Alligator mississippiensis: one gene and its partner. The main gene of each other region encodes a partner of the protein of the gene in region 2 in a complex. Links are inferred from orthologs where the notes say so. Each region holds a gene or a part of one and is shown on either strand. Other genes may lie near its edges.

What was found. Proteins that work in one complex are often made in the same cells at the same time.
Region 1: POLR3C (region 2) and POLR3K share a complex: the UniProt entries of both Homo sapiens proteins name them as parts of the RNA polymerase III complex. The link is inferred for Alligator mississippiensis from reciprocal best matches to the Homo sapiens genes POLR3C and POLR3K.

Annotation. Positions count from the first base shown.
Region 1 is NC_081836.1:21,216,955-21,224,079, reverse strand, and holds POLR3K (DNA-directed RNA polymerase III subunit RPC10), read left to right. Parts: upstream 1-4,285; 5' UTR 4,286-4,342; coding exon 4,343-4,453; intron 4,454-4,662; coding exon 4,663-4,750; intron 4,751-6,327; coding exon 6,328-6,455; 3' UTR 6,456-6,584; downstream 6,585-7,125. Other genes in the region: SNRNP25 (U11/U12 small nuclear ribonucleoprotein 25 kDa protein), read right to left, coding at 331-436, 3,827-3,917, 4,110-4,253. UniProt on the Homo sapiens protein: Core component of RNA polymerase III (Pol III) which synthesizes small non-coding RNAs using the four ribonucleoside triphosphates as substrates. Can mediate Pol I proofreading of the nascent RNA transcript.
Region 2 is NC_081838.1:17,696,157-17,704,116, reverse strand, and holds the start of POLR3C (DNA-directed RNA polymerase III subunit RPC3), read left to right. Parts: upstream 1-4,862; 5' UTR 4,863-5,086; intron 5,087-5,287; 5' UTR 5,288-5,434; coding exon 5,435-5,581; intron 5,582-6,276; coding exon 6,277-6,532; intron 6,533-7,557; coding exon 7,558-7,743; intron 7,744-7,869; coding exon 7,870-7,958; intron 7,959-7,960. Other genes in the region: E3 ubiquitin-protein ligase RNF115, read right to left, coding at 4,518-4,610. UniProt on the Homo sapiens protein: DNA-dependent RNA polymerase catalyzes the transcription of DNA into RNA using the four ribonucleoside triphosphates as substrates.

The DNA.
Region 1 (7,125 bases), on a different chromosome or scaffold from region 2:
GTTTGTGCAGTTTGTCTTTTCACGGTCGTGGTGCTCATCTCAAATTGCAGTGACCAAGCAGCTGGACGTTCAGCCTGTCTCAAATGAATCTTGCACAGGCTTTTCCTAAGCCCCTGAAAATACTTTACTTTACCAGCTAGTCATCAGCAGGCAATTCTTTCAGTTTGATCAAACACCAGCAAAACTATAAAACAGAAAAAATCTCAAAATTTGAGAGTCAAAAAGAAAATAGAATGGTGACTGCTATATGCAGCCCTTACTGCAGAAGAAGAGGGTAGTGCTGAAGTTTAGATTGTCCACAGCACACCTTGCCTTTCTTTGAGAGCTTACCAGCTAACATGCTGTATACCTCCTTCCCGCTCCTGTTTCAGCTGCACATACCGCTGGATGGCTTTCTTCAGGTCCTGGACACTGGCATTCTGTACCACTACTACAGCTGAAGGGGAGAAGACTTGCAATTAATAACACCAGGAGATATGCTCTGAAAGGAGGCAGAGCTCCAGGCCCTACCCTTACCTGCTAGAAGCTGCACTTTATAATAGGAGCTATTTTATGCCACAACCACTCCAGAACCCAGCCTGAAGATGGAACTTAGAGGGCACCAACCCAACTGAATAGCTGAGGAATGAACATGGCTAAGTCTTCCTGTCTGGGTCAGTCTTCACAAAGGAGGTTGCTTTATAGCAGGGGTGGGCAAAATATGGCCTGTGGACACTATCTGGCCCGCAGGGCCCCTAAAAAAAATGTAGAAAATTAAAATGCATTTGTCCTTGGTTCCCATCAAAAATGACAGGAACAAGGGGTAGTAGGACCCAGGGGAATCCTCAGCAGGATCCTGCAACAGCAGGGCCCCTCCGGCCCCGGCCCCCCAGCTGGAAGCCCCAACAGGGGAGGAAGCTCAGGTAAAGGTGGGGAGGGAGGGTGGCAGGGAAGGAGCTGGTGCAGAACGCAGGGAAAAGCGGCCCCTCCCCCACCCCATGGCCAGCCCTCACTACTGCAGCCACTCACAGCATGCATGGGGCTGTCCTGAGCAGGCACAGAGCCCCACACGGGGCTGGCAGTGGGGGCGGGTTACAAGCTGGTCCAGAGCATGGGAAAAGCGGCCCCTCGCCCACCCCCTGCACTGCAGCTGCTCGCCACCCGCCTGGGGCTGCCTGTGCCTGCTCAGGACAGCCCTGCGCGATGTGTGAATGGCTGCAGCAGGGAGTGTGGACCATGGGGCAGACAAGGGGTGGCTCTATCCTGCGCTCCGCACCAGCTCCTTCCTTGCTGGTGAGCAGGGGTTCAGGGCTGTGCGCTCCCCCAAGCCTGTACCATGGGGCTGGGGGGGGGGGGGGGGGGGCACTGGAAATGAGTGGGCGCAGGAACACAGGGCTCGCACCGGTGTCCCAGCAAGGCCCAGAGCAGGGGTATAGGGTTCCAGCTGGCAGAGGCTCTATGGAGCCGGGCCAGCTCCCCCCTCTTCCTGCTGGTGCAGCCCAGCTCCACAGACCCCTGCCAGCCTGCACCCTGTTCTGGGCCCCACCGGTGCTGGCCCTGGGACATCAATCCCAAGACATTGGGACACTGTTCCCAAGATGGTGGCCAGGGGGCAGGGCACCTGTCAAAGGACGGGGCTACCCATGCAGCCCTCGACAGCTTGCCAAAACTGGGTAAGCGGCCCTCCGCCTGAAATAATTGCCCACCTCTGCTTTACAGCCTTTAAGCTCCAACCTCGTACGTTTGATAGAGGCAGGTTTGAGGTGACGGACCAAATGAGAAATCATTACAGAACACTGTCAGTAAGCTGTATTTCTGCCTGCCACCAAGGTAGGGTATTAATCAGGTACTTCACCCAATTACACACCTACTCCTCTGGCTCCTAAGTACTTCAGGGTGCTGGGCTGAGGTTCGTGAAATTGTGCCCCAGCCATCTCAGTCCACTCAATGCACCAAACTGCAACTGCCCACCTTGGATCACATATGTAATTTCTTCTCCACTTGCTAGAAGATGTCACCATATTGTGACAACAAGGTAGGCATTAAGACCAATATCAAAAGACTAGCTTTGGGAACCAGAAATTAATCGCTATTCTCTATCAATAAGGACCTACCAAATTCATGGCATAAGTGGGGTACATGGCAGATCCTTCAATCTTTCATGCTTCCTCGTGTGCCCCTCCCCGCAGTTATTGATTGGCATAGGGAGCACACTGCTCCCTCCTAATTGGTAGGAAATGAAAACCATGGTTTTAATTATGGTGTGGTTTTTGCCTCCCCGCCAGCCAGCAACAAGCATCAGGGCCACTGGGGCCCCTCAGCCAGTCAGCGGCAGGAGGCAAAAATGGTGCCAACTAGGGGTGCACTGATAAAAATTTTTTGGGCCGATACTGATGGCCAATTAGCAACAAGCCACATTGGCTGACACTGATCCAATTGCCAATATACAGCCCAACAGCTCAGAGAGCAGCATCAGGCTGGTAAGTCTGTTGTGGGGAAGGGGCACGGGGGGGGGAGGCAAAACAAGGCCCCCATGGTGAGGGATGGAGTGTGATTGGGGCAAGGACAGGGGCAGACACTGCGTGCACTCCTGGAGGAGGCATAGCGGGGCACGTGCCTCCTGGACGTGTGCACAGTGTGGCACCAGACTCTTTCCAGTGGTGAGGGCCAGGCTGAGGTTACAGGGGGCTATGGCAAATTTTGGGATGGCTGTAGCTCCCCCCTCCCAGCACCACCCATCCTGAGAGCAGCCCAAGCCCAAGCCCCACCCATCAGGCAGAGCCTGACACTGCTCCTGGCCCAAGTGCACAGCAGCAGCTTGCCTTTGCTCTGTGCACAGATCTAGGAGGCATCCCTCCCTTGGGGGTGCATGCAACAGCGGAATGTGACTCCCCGTACACCATCCAGACAAGCCGCTTATGGCGGTCTTGTGCCCTGTCCTGGCTGTGCAGCACCTGCCCCAGCCCCACTCCCTTCTTCACTGTGGGGGCCTTGATCTACCCCCAACCCATTCCCCCCCCCCCCCCCCCCTCGACTTACCAGCTGGATGCTGCTCTCCATGCTGATAGGCTGCGCTCTTGGCCACCTGTGTGCTGTCCTGTGCTGCGCTGCAGCTGTGTGCATGCACGCAGCATGTATTGGCAACATTACTGCTCACAGCAGCCAAAAAAGCCGATTGCCAATAATGTCAGTTTTACGTTTATTGGTGCAGATATGATATGTACCAATATATCACTGCACCTCTATTTAAAACTGCAGTTTTTTCCTAACCACCAACCAGGAGCAAGCTGCAAGTGTGGCCCCTGCACTAATCGGGGGGGGGGGGAACCTGCAAGATTAAGGAGCAGCAGTGCACCCCACTTGTGCAGTGAATTTAGTAGGTCCCTATCTATGGATCTGACCCCAGGTCTGCTTGGCTTTACTACTAGGGTACTACTAGGGCTTTACTGCCTGTCCTGATGCCAAGGGCTTACCAACTAATATACATTTCAGTTAAAGCATCTCCTTCCACTCCATGTCTGTGCGGTCCTCCACTGTTTTCGACAGATGCTGCAGAGCACTCAGACATGCTGGAACTCGTAGGGAACAGGACTGAACATTATCACTGTGCAGGCTCTTCAAGAGCAAGCATATTTAAAGGACTACATGACATAAGACTGCTCCACAGCAGCAGGAGCAAGAAGACAAATGCTGCCCCTGCACAATGCCCACAGGTTAGCATCCCCGTCTCAACACCACGTGTCCCTATGTGCGCGGTGCTCACCCATCCCCACAAAGCCAGCACAGCCAACGTGAGGCCGGGCAGCCGCCAAACAACCCCAGCAAGGGCAGCGCCAAAAGCACTTACGCATCACTTCCTCGTCGGCTTTGCACACGCGCACCGTCATGGCCTGGCCGTACTCCAGCGCGATTTGGGAGTTGATTTCCTCCGGGGTGACCTGTCCGGGGCAGAACAGCGGCCGCGCCCATGAGTCCCGCCCCGGCCGCCCAGCAGCTCCCTCGCTCCGGGCACTCTCGTCGCTTCCCTGCAGCGGTGGGCCGCGCCCCGCACCCGGCCCCTCTGAGCCGCTAGGAAAGGCCGCGACGCCGGGCGCCCTCGCAGCGCGGGGGACGCGGCGCTCTGGACCCACCTGCACAGGGAGGTCGCACAGCAGCGGGTCCTGCACGAGCCTGACCAGCCCCTCCTGGAAGAGCTCCAGCACCTCTGCGTGCGCCAGCTCCTCCTCCTCCTCCTCGGCCTCAGCCTCCGCGCCGCTTCCGTCCGCCGCCGCCATGGCCCGGCCCGCGCGGCGGCTCGTGGCAGCCGAACCTGATCCGCCGGAAGTGGCGGGGCGGGGCGGGGTTCTGGCTGCTTGGCGCAGAGATGCTGCTTTTCTGCCCGGCCTGCGGCAACGTGCTGGTGGCTGAGGAGGGGCCGCGCTGCCACCGATTCGCTTGCACCACGTGTCCCTATGTGCGCAACGTTACGCGCAAGGTAGCGCCCTTCCCCCCCCCAGCGCTGGGTGCGCGCTCGCGTTGCCCGGAGCCGGCGGCGGGGCTCGCGGCGTTGGCCGACACCGTGTAGCAGCCGCCGGCGCTGCGGCCGCTCTTGGCTGCGCCAGGGTGCGGGGGGGGAGTCGATGAGACGCGTGCGGGGGGCCGAGCACGGGGCTGCAGGCGAGTGAGTTTTCCGGGCGCCTCCAGGTGACCAGCAGGAAATACCCGAAGCTAAAGGAGGTGGACGACGTCCTGGGAGGCGCCGCTGCTTGGGAAAACGTGGATTCCACAGCAGGTGAGAGCCGGTGCCGGCCTGGCCTCGTCGGTCCTGCTGCTCATCGCCCCCGCACGAAAGGTGCTGCTGGTGCTTCCTGTCCAGCGGCGCCTTCGGCTTCAGCCCGCTGCCCCACACTGTTCTCGAGCCCAGTGCCTTGCATGCAGGCACGCTGAGCTATCTGCTCTGCAAGAGAAGCCACTGCCTTGAGTAGGTGGGAGGATTAGTCTGCACTGGGCTGCACTTAAGGAAGATGGATCCTGAAGTGATACAAGCTGTGCTTCTTCCACACAGGGACAGTGGGAACTCATGGTGCTGCGAGGGATGGTTCTTGGGCCACAATACTTGAAACAATTGAAGGGTCATGTTTATCCATTCTTCTCTTGCCCACTAAGCTCCACATGCATGCTACAGTGCTGTCTTTCTGGGTCACTAAGCAGTTTGAAATGATGATTCTGAGAAATGTGAACAGCTCCCTCTCTCTCTTGTCATCTTATGGTGTTATTCTAAAGCTTGACTGTGATAATTCACTTGATTTCCTATGGCTCCAAGCAGTAGTGGAGGGTTTTTATGGCCAGCATGTTAGCCACAAACCATGGATTGGCGACCACAGTTTGACAAAATGTCCTAGCTTTGATCATTTTAGTATGATAGTAGTAAGATGAAGAGGCCACAGAAGTGAAGCATGGCCCAGTTGAGAGTGGGACCTAGAAGTTCTTTCAGAAAAGGGAATTGGATTGAATAGAGAAATCTTACCGTTGCTTTTGCGAGTTAGGGAAAATGAATAAAGGGGAAAGAAAGACGAGAAAACAGAGCAGTAATTGTGTTTGGTAGTTGACAAATTAAATGCACGCTCCCTTTTAGAAGTGCTGAATACGACAGTCGTGTACAAAACAAATGTGATGTTTAGATGCAACATAAGATGTTATCTATCAAATATAGATAATTTTGTGTAAAGCCTGCAGCTAGAATCTGCTGTGGATTCAGAAGCAGAGTTTGAAGCCCTACACACATCTTGGCCTGTGAATTGACATAGAAAATGGAATTCATCTCCCTCTCCACCCTGTGTGCCTTATCTTTAATCTGACATGTCTGCCTCTCTCACCTCCTTACAAAAGAGAGAAGACCACCTGACTCCAAAATTGCACTGTGGCAGTATTGCTGGTCCTGGTTGGTTTCATGAAACTGCTGTAATTTCTGTGCTAGTCCTTCTCTACTCCTAGCTCTGAGTGGGACTTGCTTTCTGCTAATCTCTAGTCTGCAGGAGACATGCTGGCCTTTTGGTAGCCAGGGTTATTCAGATCTCCTGCAACTCTTAAGAAACTAGATGGTCCTCACTGATTTTGTTTAATCAGTTGATGTAATGGAGTGTGCTCAAGGACAGGAAATGTCCTGTGTTAGAGATCCTACCCCTAAAGTTCCATTAAGTTTTCTTGGAGCTTAAAGTTGGGCAGATGGAATGTTTACAAAAAAAATCCATCTCTTGGGTTAATGGTTTGTGGAAGGTTGAATTTAAGTAGAACCTACCTACACCCCTCTGTGACATAAGGAAGAATTGCTCTGCCAAGCTCACTTCACTTCTAATGTTTCTTTTTCAGAACCGTGTCCCAAGTGTGAACATCCACGTGCCTACTTCATGCAGATTCAGACCAGATCAGCTGATGAGCCTATGACCACATTTTATAAGTGTTGTAATGCTCAGTGTGGCCACAGGTGGAGGGATTAACTTTCCTATCATATGTGTTAGTTCTTGTTTGTTCAAAACAAAACAAAAAATCCAAAAAAGCATCTCCATCTGGTTTGTTGAATGTGAAATGCTAATTCTAATATAATAAAGGGCTTTGTCTGTCTGTAACACTTTTGGGCAAGTGTGTGCGTGCGGTTTTAAACTGGGCACATTTCTCTCTCCCAGGAGGGAGAAAAAAATGGTGCCAACTTTAAAATCACAGCTTTTGTAGCTGCTTCTCTGCAGCCATGTGGGGCCCCTCCCCCAGTGGAGCTGGGGAGGTAGACTGGGGCTGGGCTGGCCAGGAATGCAGTGCAGTGCAGGCAGGGGGACCAGAAGCGCTGTGCTGTGCAGCAAGGCAGGGAGCAGCGCTGGGGGGGGCCACAGCCCCCCAACATTCACCTTATCACCTGGACCTGCCCCTCCCAGCACTGCCACCTGAATGAGAGGTGGGGTGCAGTGTTGCCAGCCTGGCCCCTTGCACATGCATGGCTGCAGGGACACAGCCCAGCATCAGCTCCCTCCCGGTCAGTGGGTGGTGGGGGGGGGGCAAAGATGGCTGCCTCAGTGTGATGGGGAGGTCCTGGGAGGGGAAGCTGTGTCTGTGTGTGTGGACATGTCTGCGTCTGCACTTAAGTGCGTGTGTGTGCATCTCTGTGCACGTGTGCTC
Region 2 (7,960 bases):
CATAAGTTCCTGAAAACAGTCTCGTTTCCACATCACAAATCTCATCAAGATACTACTGGCAGCTTACTTGCTGCTTCCAGAAGCTACAGCACTCACCCAACAGCTATGGCTGTGAAAAGGCTAACAAAGGACCCTGCCATCTTGGCAGCTGCCGAGTCTCCAGATTTCTTTTACAGTGAAGACAATAGCTTCCCTGCCTAAAACATGCACCTTAATTTTCAGGTGTGTGTGGGAGACGGGGCTGCACATGGTACATGAGAAAATATGGTAGCAATTGCCTCATCTTCATTAGGATTTTACCAATGAAAACAGGCCTGTACCCTGAGCAAAAACAGGGTCTTAGAGATCTCTCGACTGTAAACGTCCCAATGAAGAGGCACAGCTGTGTTGTAATCCTGTCTTGGCTGCATCGCCAGTACAGTCAAGATGGGTTCTTTATACTGACAGAGGACAATCTTTTTGGCAGGTGTGCCACAAATTATCCCCGTACCCTCCCCGAGTGCCACTCTGGTCCCCTTCCCGACCTGCTGCTCTGCTTTCTGTTCCCTACCCTGTGCTGCATGTTCCCTGCCTCATCTGCCACACTCCCTGCACACAGCCTAACAGTGGTATCCACACTGTAAGTTGCCCACCCTTGTTTTATACCATCCTCGTGGCTGAGCTGCCTGGCACCGAATGCACCGCCAACACCACGAGAACCGGCATGCAGGGATCATTTAATCCATCTCGAGACGCAGCCAAGGCCCGAGGCGACAGGCAGTAGCTGCTGGGTGGCAGACAGCTGAACTGAGCAGCGGAGCGGCGGGGATAGTCTCACACGTACAAGGGTCTGCAAGTGTTTTTGACGAGCAAGGAAATATTATAAGGAAACAATGTGCCCCCGATACACCCCCCCCCCCTTCCAATGCAACTGCAAGAGCCATTTTCGCCTTGTGGCTGGAGGAGAGCCAGGAGGCCAGGCACAAGGATCTCTCCTCAACAAAATGAACAGCAAGATCTTTAATAGCAAGGATCAGCCAGGATCACAGCAGAGCCGGCAGAGGGGGATGGGGCCGTGTCCAGGATCACTGGGCCCTTTTGGGCTGGGAGGAAGGAGGGGAATGTCTTTAAAGAACAACCAAAGCAGGCAGCAGACATTTGCCTCGCTGAGGGTCCCCACCACAAGAAAGCCTCTCCAATCCCCCACGCGCAGTCAGACGTCAGGCCGCTTGTCCTCCTCTTATTTTGAAAGGGAGGCAGAGCCACAGGACATGCACCAGCAGCACTGTAGCCACCCCAAATGGGTGATGAGGAACATGGTCACCCCGCTATCCCCCACCACACACACACAAATATATGGGGCTGGCTTCCAGCCAACATAACTTCCAAGATCCCCACTCCTCATTAACTGTTTCCTATGTCTATCACTGCAGAACCCATTGGCCACGTGTGGATTGGTGTAGCCTGGGAAGTGGACAGGCCAGAACATGGCTTGTGGCAAGGGTTGCCCTGCCCTGCAGAGATCCCCTGGTGGTGTGTGGCAGGGAGAGGACCGGGGGAGAAGGATGACATACTAATATAACCCGCTGTTGTCCATTCTGGGTGGATCACAGCATTGGTTCCTGACTCAGGATCTCTGGCAGCTCTGCAGCAGCCCACTGAGATCTGACAGTGTGGGGGAGGCAGCCAGGTCCCATCACCATCAATAAACCCTGATGGAAGTCAGGCACTGGCTTCAAGAGATGGTGGATCCATACATCTGCATCTTCTCCAAGGAGAGACTGATACTCTGCTTAGATAACCCCCGGTGTAAAAAAATCTCCTCCAGGTTTTACAAATCAACTGCCAGACTCCCTCGCTCCGTTCAGCTGGCATTACCCTCATCTGATAACGCCTGCCAGAGTGCTGTCAAGAAAAGCTCCCAGCTTTGCAGAGAGGAAATTAGCACAGAGAGGGGAAGTGACTTGCCTGACGTCAGAGATAAGTCAGGGGCCGAGCTGGGATGAGAAGCCAGGAGTCCTGGTTCTCAGCTGTAATCGCTGGTTCACACTACCTCCAGACAGACACGCCTGGCAGAGACCTGGGCCAATGCAGATTTGAAAGGAGGCCCTAATCAAGGGCACTGAAAACAGCAGCCCCCCCTTACCCACACACCCCAGCTGAACCCAGCAACTGTCACGGTTGAACAATGGGGAAACTGAGGCACATAGAAAGAGTGCTTTGCCCAAGGTCAGAGAGGGGATCAGCTTTAGAGCAGTGATCCGAACGCAGGCATTGTCCTCACCTAGTCTGACGCTCCTGGCTGAGCCTTGGCCAGAGATCACGAACACACAGGCTCCAGAAGAAGTGGTTCCAGAGTCTGGTCCCAATCGTGCTTCCAAATGACGCTGGCTACTGAGAGCAGGAAGGAGCCATATTCTCCCACCACTCAAACAGCCTGGAAGAAAAGAGCCATCCCCTAACTCAAGCCATTTCCTACCAGGGATCAAGGGCAGAGAAAGGTGTTGCCACCCTGTGCAGGAAAGAAAAAGCAGCAAGATTGATGGGTTTGGCTTGGTTGGTTCCAGCCCTGAAGAAAGTATTTATAAAGCCTGGGAAATATTTGCCACTTCTGAAGCACCCGCAAAGATAGGATTATGCTTAGCGCTGCTGAAATGCAGCCACCTCTGGGGTGGAGTGCAGCACGTCAAGAACACAGCTCATCACCCAGTGACAGCAGCGAAAGTGAATTCAAAGCCAAGGCTGTGACGTTGCTCTGGGTTTTAAGAAAAGTTTTAAGAAAAACCAAGCAAGGCAGGCAAACCACTCTCTTTTGCAAAGGCAGCCAAGCAAAGCCCTGCCTGGGCCTTCAAGAAGGGATTTCAGTCCCCGAGTGAGGAGACTGAAAACAGGCACTGGAGTCCCAGCAAGAGAGGAAAGACATGATGCAAAGACGCTGGAAAGAGCACGTTGCCCAGCCCCACTGTTATGTGCCGCTCAGACAGCCGGGCCCAGAGGCTGCAAACAAAACGTGCTTTGGCCATCAGGAAATCCTGAGTCCCGGCTACGGAAGGGAACGGGCTGCGAACGATTCAGGGCAGCGTTTCTCTCTAACAAAGGAGAGCTGGAAGAGCGTGGGGGGCCTATCCAAGTTGGCAGAGGCAAAACGACGGGGAATTCAGGAGCAGGGAGCGAAGAGACCATGCCAGAAGGCTGGGCTCTTAGCTGCAAGGACAGCGGGCCAGGATGCTGAGATGTAGCACCTTGGGCTTCTCCTGGACAAGGACGAGCCGTGCCGGGGCTGCAGGAACACTGATACCTGAGCATACATCAGGCAGGGGCAGGGCAGTCATGTCATGCCAGGCTGCTACACTGCGTGAAATCAGGCACCTTGCCACCTCCATCCCTGGCAAGGAGAGGACCAGCAGCAGCACAGGACCTGCTCTGCTCCTCCATGGGCCAGGGGGACGCCCTGGATCTGCCCAGCTCATGCCACCCCCTACCCACAACTTCCTCAGAGCCAGAGAGCACGGAGGGACCTCAAGATCCAGGGGGCTGTGATCTTGCCCCAGCTGCCGAGGATCTCCTGGCCACGCTCCCGCTCAGCAATGAGGCAAGGGGTCTCTCGCTTTCAGACCTGGGGAAACTGAGGCATGAAGGGGAGGGGACCATCCCCACAGGACACAGAAGAAGCGGCACCTGATCTGGTTCAGGCTCCTTCGGCTGCCCCCCCCACGCCCGACGACACCTCGGGTGACAGGACAAGCAAAACAAGGATGCCCGGAGACGCTCGACTGCAAACAAACCTGCCTGCTACCTTGGGCATGTGGCCGAGCGGAGCCTGCAGCCCCCCTGCCCGGCACTGGGGGAGATGCCAAGGAGGCAGCCGGGGCTGGGGCTCTGCCAGGCGACCCCCTCGCTCCCCGGGGCAGGGAGACGCACCCTCCCTCACGCTCTGCCCCCAACAAGGCTTTTGAGGCAGCCGGGGGGACTTCTCCGCTCCCCCCACCCGGGGAAGGTCCCTCTGAGGAGTGGGGCTTTCCCCCACTGTCAAGGGGGCTGGGGGGGTCCAACCCCCCCCATGGGGAGGTCCCATGGGCCAATGGGATGCGCCGTCACTTCCGGGGGGAGGGGCTACCCCTGGGGGGGGGCTGATCCCCTGCATTGCCCCTCCTCCCCCCGAGGGGGCATTTCCCCTCCAGGAGGTGCTTGGGGGGGTTAGACCCCCTCAGGGGCAATGCTGGGGTTCACCCCCCCCGGGGAGGGTAGCTGGGGTCACCTTCTCACCCACTGGGGGAAGGGATCACCCCCCCCAGCCCCAAATCGAGGGGGGGGCAAGTGGGGTGAAGCCCCCACTCGGGAGGAAGGGCAACAACCCCTCCCCAACTGGGGGCTTCTGTATTTGCCCCTCCCCCAATGAGGGGGCTCCGGCTCCAGTCCCCTGAGGGGGTCGCCCCTCCCCCCCGGAGGGGGGCGCTGAGGTTTGACCCTCCCTCCGCCCCTTACAGCGGGGGGGGCGGGATGCAGCCCCCCAACCCGGAAGCCCGCGTCCCTCTTACCGGCAGCTTGGGGTTGACCTCCCCCTTGCAGCTGTGGCAGAAGAAGCGATGCTGGGACACGGCGGCCGCCGCCGCTGCCGAGGCCTCCGCCATTTTCTCTCCCCCTCCCCCGGCTCCCTGCCTGCCGTCAGTCCTCCGGGAGGAGCAGCGAGACTACGGGCGGGCCGGATAGAACGGCGGCGGGGCCGCTCTAGCCCGCAGCTTACTCCCCAGTCTCTTCTGCTCCGCTGCGGGAAAACGGAGCCTTCCGCTTGAGCAGCGAGGCGGGAGGGTAGAGCGGTTCCTCGCTACTTCCGCGTTCCAGTCCTCCCAGCAGCCACAGAGACGAGGGGAAAGCCAGAGCGCCACCCGAGAGTCCTCAATGCGCTGGGCGACGTTAGACGCAACGGGAGAGGGAGAGAGCGCCCCCTGGGGTCCTCCAGCGCCACCAACGAGAGGTAGCTAGAGCGGCCACACCAAAGAAGCGAGCGGAAGTGATCCTTGTTGAACTGGAAGCTGAAAGCCACGGGGTTGCTATGGTTGCTGTCGGGGCCTAAAAAAATTCGACCCCCTCCCCTCCCCTCCCCCAGGTGAGATGCAACCCAGGCGTCGGGACACCCCCTCCCCCCCCCGGGCCTCAGCTCATCGTCTTCAGCCTCAGTTTCCCTTGGAGGGGGAGGGGCCCGTCTCTAGCCTCAGTTTCCCGAGTGGGAGTGGGAGTGGGGGTGGGGGGAGGGGCGGTTTGATACAGCTGCAGATGTGAACCCATCAAATCCATTTCTGGCACAAAGCGTGAGCCGCCTCGAGTCCGGACTGGACACCGCAAGAGAAACCGGCATCTCCGCATCCGCCCGGCAGCGCCGACCCGTTGCATCCCTCGTGACGAAACCGCGGACGTTCGGACCCGACTCGACGCAGGTGTGCGGTTTGCCGGCGGGATGACGCAGGCGGAAATTAAGCTCTGTTCTCTGCTGCTGCAAGAACATTTTGGAGAGATCGTGGAGAAGATAGGCACGTACCTCGTGCGGACCGGCGGGCAGCCTCTGCGAGCGATTGTCAGCGACACCGGCACCTCCCTGGACCAGGTACGTCCCGGGCTGCGCCAGCTGGCGAGTCGGCGTCCGCACGCTCAGGGGAGCCGGCTGTGCTCGGGCGATCTCCGTACAGCTCGTCAGTTCCCGTCTCCGGAAGGTTTCCCCACTTCTAAAATCTACGTGCGAGACACAAATTGGCGTAAAGGAGGTGCTGACTTGAAAGCAGATTTTTTTTTAAAATTGGGATAGATGGTTTCATCGGGCTCCTGCTGCGGTCCAGGGGCGTCTTTGCCACCAGTGTTAACGAGCGGATCCCAGACGTTACCTCCCTGCCGCCGGGCGAGTGGGGGGTGCCGTTGAGATCTAGCTGGGAAAGGAAGGAGCGAAGCTGGAGCAGGGGATGGAGGTTAAGGGTGTGAAAGACTGAGCTGTTTAACAATTAACGGTGAATCAGAACGCAGCGCCCTGCCCCGGACCTCGCACGTTGCCTCAGCTCTGGTAGCCTGAGATGCCCTGGGAATTCGCAGCATCGGGTGAATTCACTTCCGTGGTGAAAGCTTAATAGCTTTATCCCAAGCTGATAAGAGCTCATGAACACAGCACAGATACTGCATCGTTCGAGTTGCCAGCCAGCCCCCCCCAACCCTAACCCTAACCCCTCCCCCCTTCACACACCCCTCCTCTTAGTCCATCGATGGTGCTGTGCGTTCCCAAGTCCGTGACTTGTCCCTTTCCGGCTCCCACAGGTGAAGAAAGCCTTGTGCGTCCTCATCCAGCACAACCTGGGCACCTACCAGATACAGAAGCGTGGCTTCGTGGAGTACAGCGTCCAGTGCAGCCGAGTGCTGTGCATCCTGCGCTACCCGCGCTACATCTACACGGCCAAGACCCTGTACGGCGACACGGGCGAGCTCATTGTGGAGGAGCTGCTTCTCAATGGCAAGATGCCCATGAGCGCCGTGGTCACGAAGGTGGCTGACAGGCTGACAGAGACCATGGAGGGTGAGTGATGGGGGTGTTGGCATGGCTGAGAGACGGGATGGGGACTGCTCCCTGGGGCACCTCATCTGGCTGGTGCTCCCTGGATATATCTCGCCACTGGTGGGATTGGATCAAGCTCAGGGGAATAAGAGGATTCAGCACCAGGGTGGGGGATGTTGAATCCAGACCATAGGGAAGTGATGGATGGACATCTGCTGGGTGGCATCAGTGGGTTTTGTGTCTTGGAAGGGCTGTGTAGAAAACCAGTGCGCCAGTGATTCCCCAGGAGAGAGCTTGGGCTGCCAGCTCCAGGGATGGGGGAGCAGCAAAAGATAAACAGCAAGTCAGTGCTCATGCCAGAGACAGAGCTGGTTTGCGGGCATATGCTCCCACCAGACATGATGGTATAACACGTGCCAATGTGAACTTGTCCCTGTGTCAGGAAACCAGGTTCAAGGCTGCCGAGTTGGCTTCTTCGCTGCCGCAGACTCGCTGGAGGACTTGATCAAGTCGAAAAAGACTTGATCAAGATCTTCTCCAGGTCTCAGTTTGCCTATATGAGTTCTGAGGTGAAGGAGGAGCATTTCCTGCCTAGCTTGTGTCTTAAAGATGAGTTTCTCAGCTGTGGGCTGAGATGGGAAACCCACTCTGGTTGTGCTTGGATTTTCCCTCACCTCTGCGCCGGTTTCTCTGATAGATGCATGTCTAAGTAGCTGGCCTTATCAGTATCTAATCTGCCAGGAGTGGGGTATCTGAGCTGGAAACAGGAGACTAAACACTTCTAAACATGACCTTGAAACTTCAGGTGCCCAGTGTATGACACAAGCCTGTTCAGCATCCCTGAAAAATCAGGTCACCTCAAGTAACCCCCTAAAAAACCAGAGGCTTCCAAAACCGCCATCTGCCTCTGAAAACCCAGCCCATGGCCTCTGAGGCTGGTAGGAGCAAGGGCAGGGCATGGGGTTGTAACCCAGCTGGCACAGTGCTAGCAGCTGGGCAGTCAGGATCACGAACATTCACCTTCTCCTTGGGATCCTCCTGTCCAGATGGGAAAACCATGGACTACACTGAAGTCTCCAACACCTTTGTCCGCCTGGCAGACACCCACTTTGTGCAGAGGTGCCCAGGGGTCCCCGATGCTTCTGGGCCATCAGATTCGGCAGCACCTCCTGCGCCTACGCTGGTCATTGACGAGAAGGACATGTACAGCGTCCCCAGACTGAACCTCATAGGTGAGGAATGAGCTGAGCCACCCTGATCAGGGGCACGGTGGGAGCAGGAGGCATGATGAGAGTTTGGACAGGAATCCACGTTCAGCGTGATGGAGTCAGAGGGGAACCTCTGTCTTTGGCCTACAGGGAAGGGGAAGAGGAGGCGATCGTGTGACGATGATGATAACGGCGAACACAAGGCGAAGAAACAGAAGCAGGATCTCGAGAGCCAAGAGGT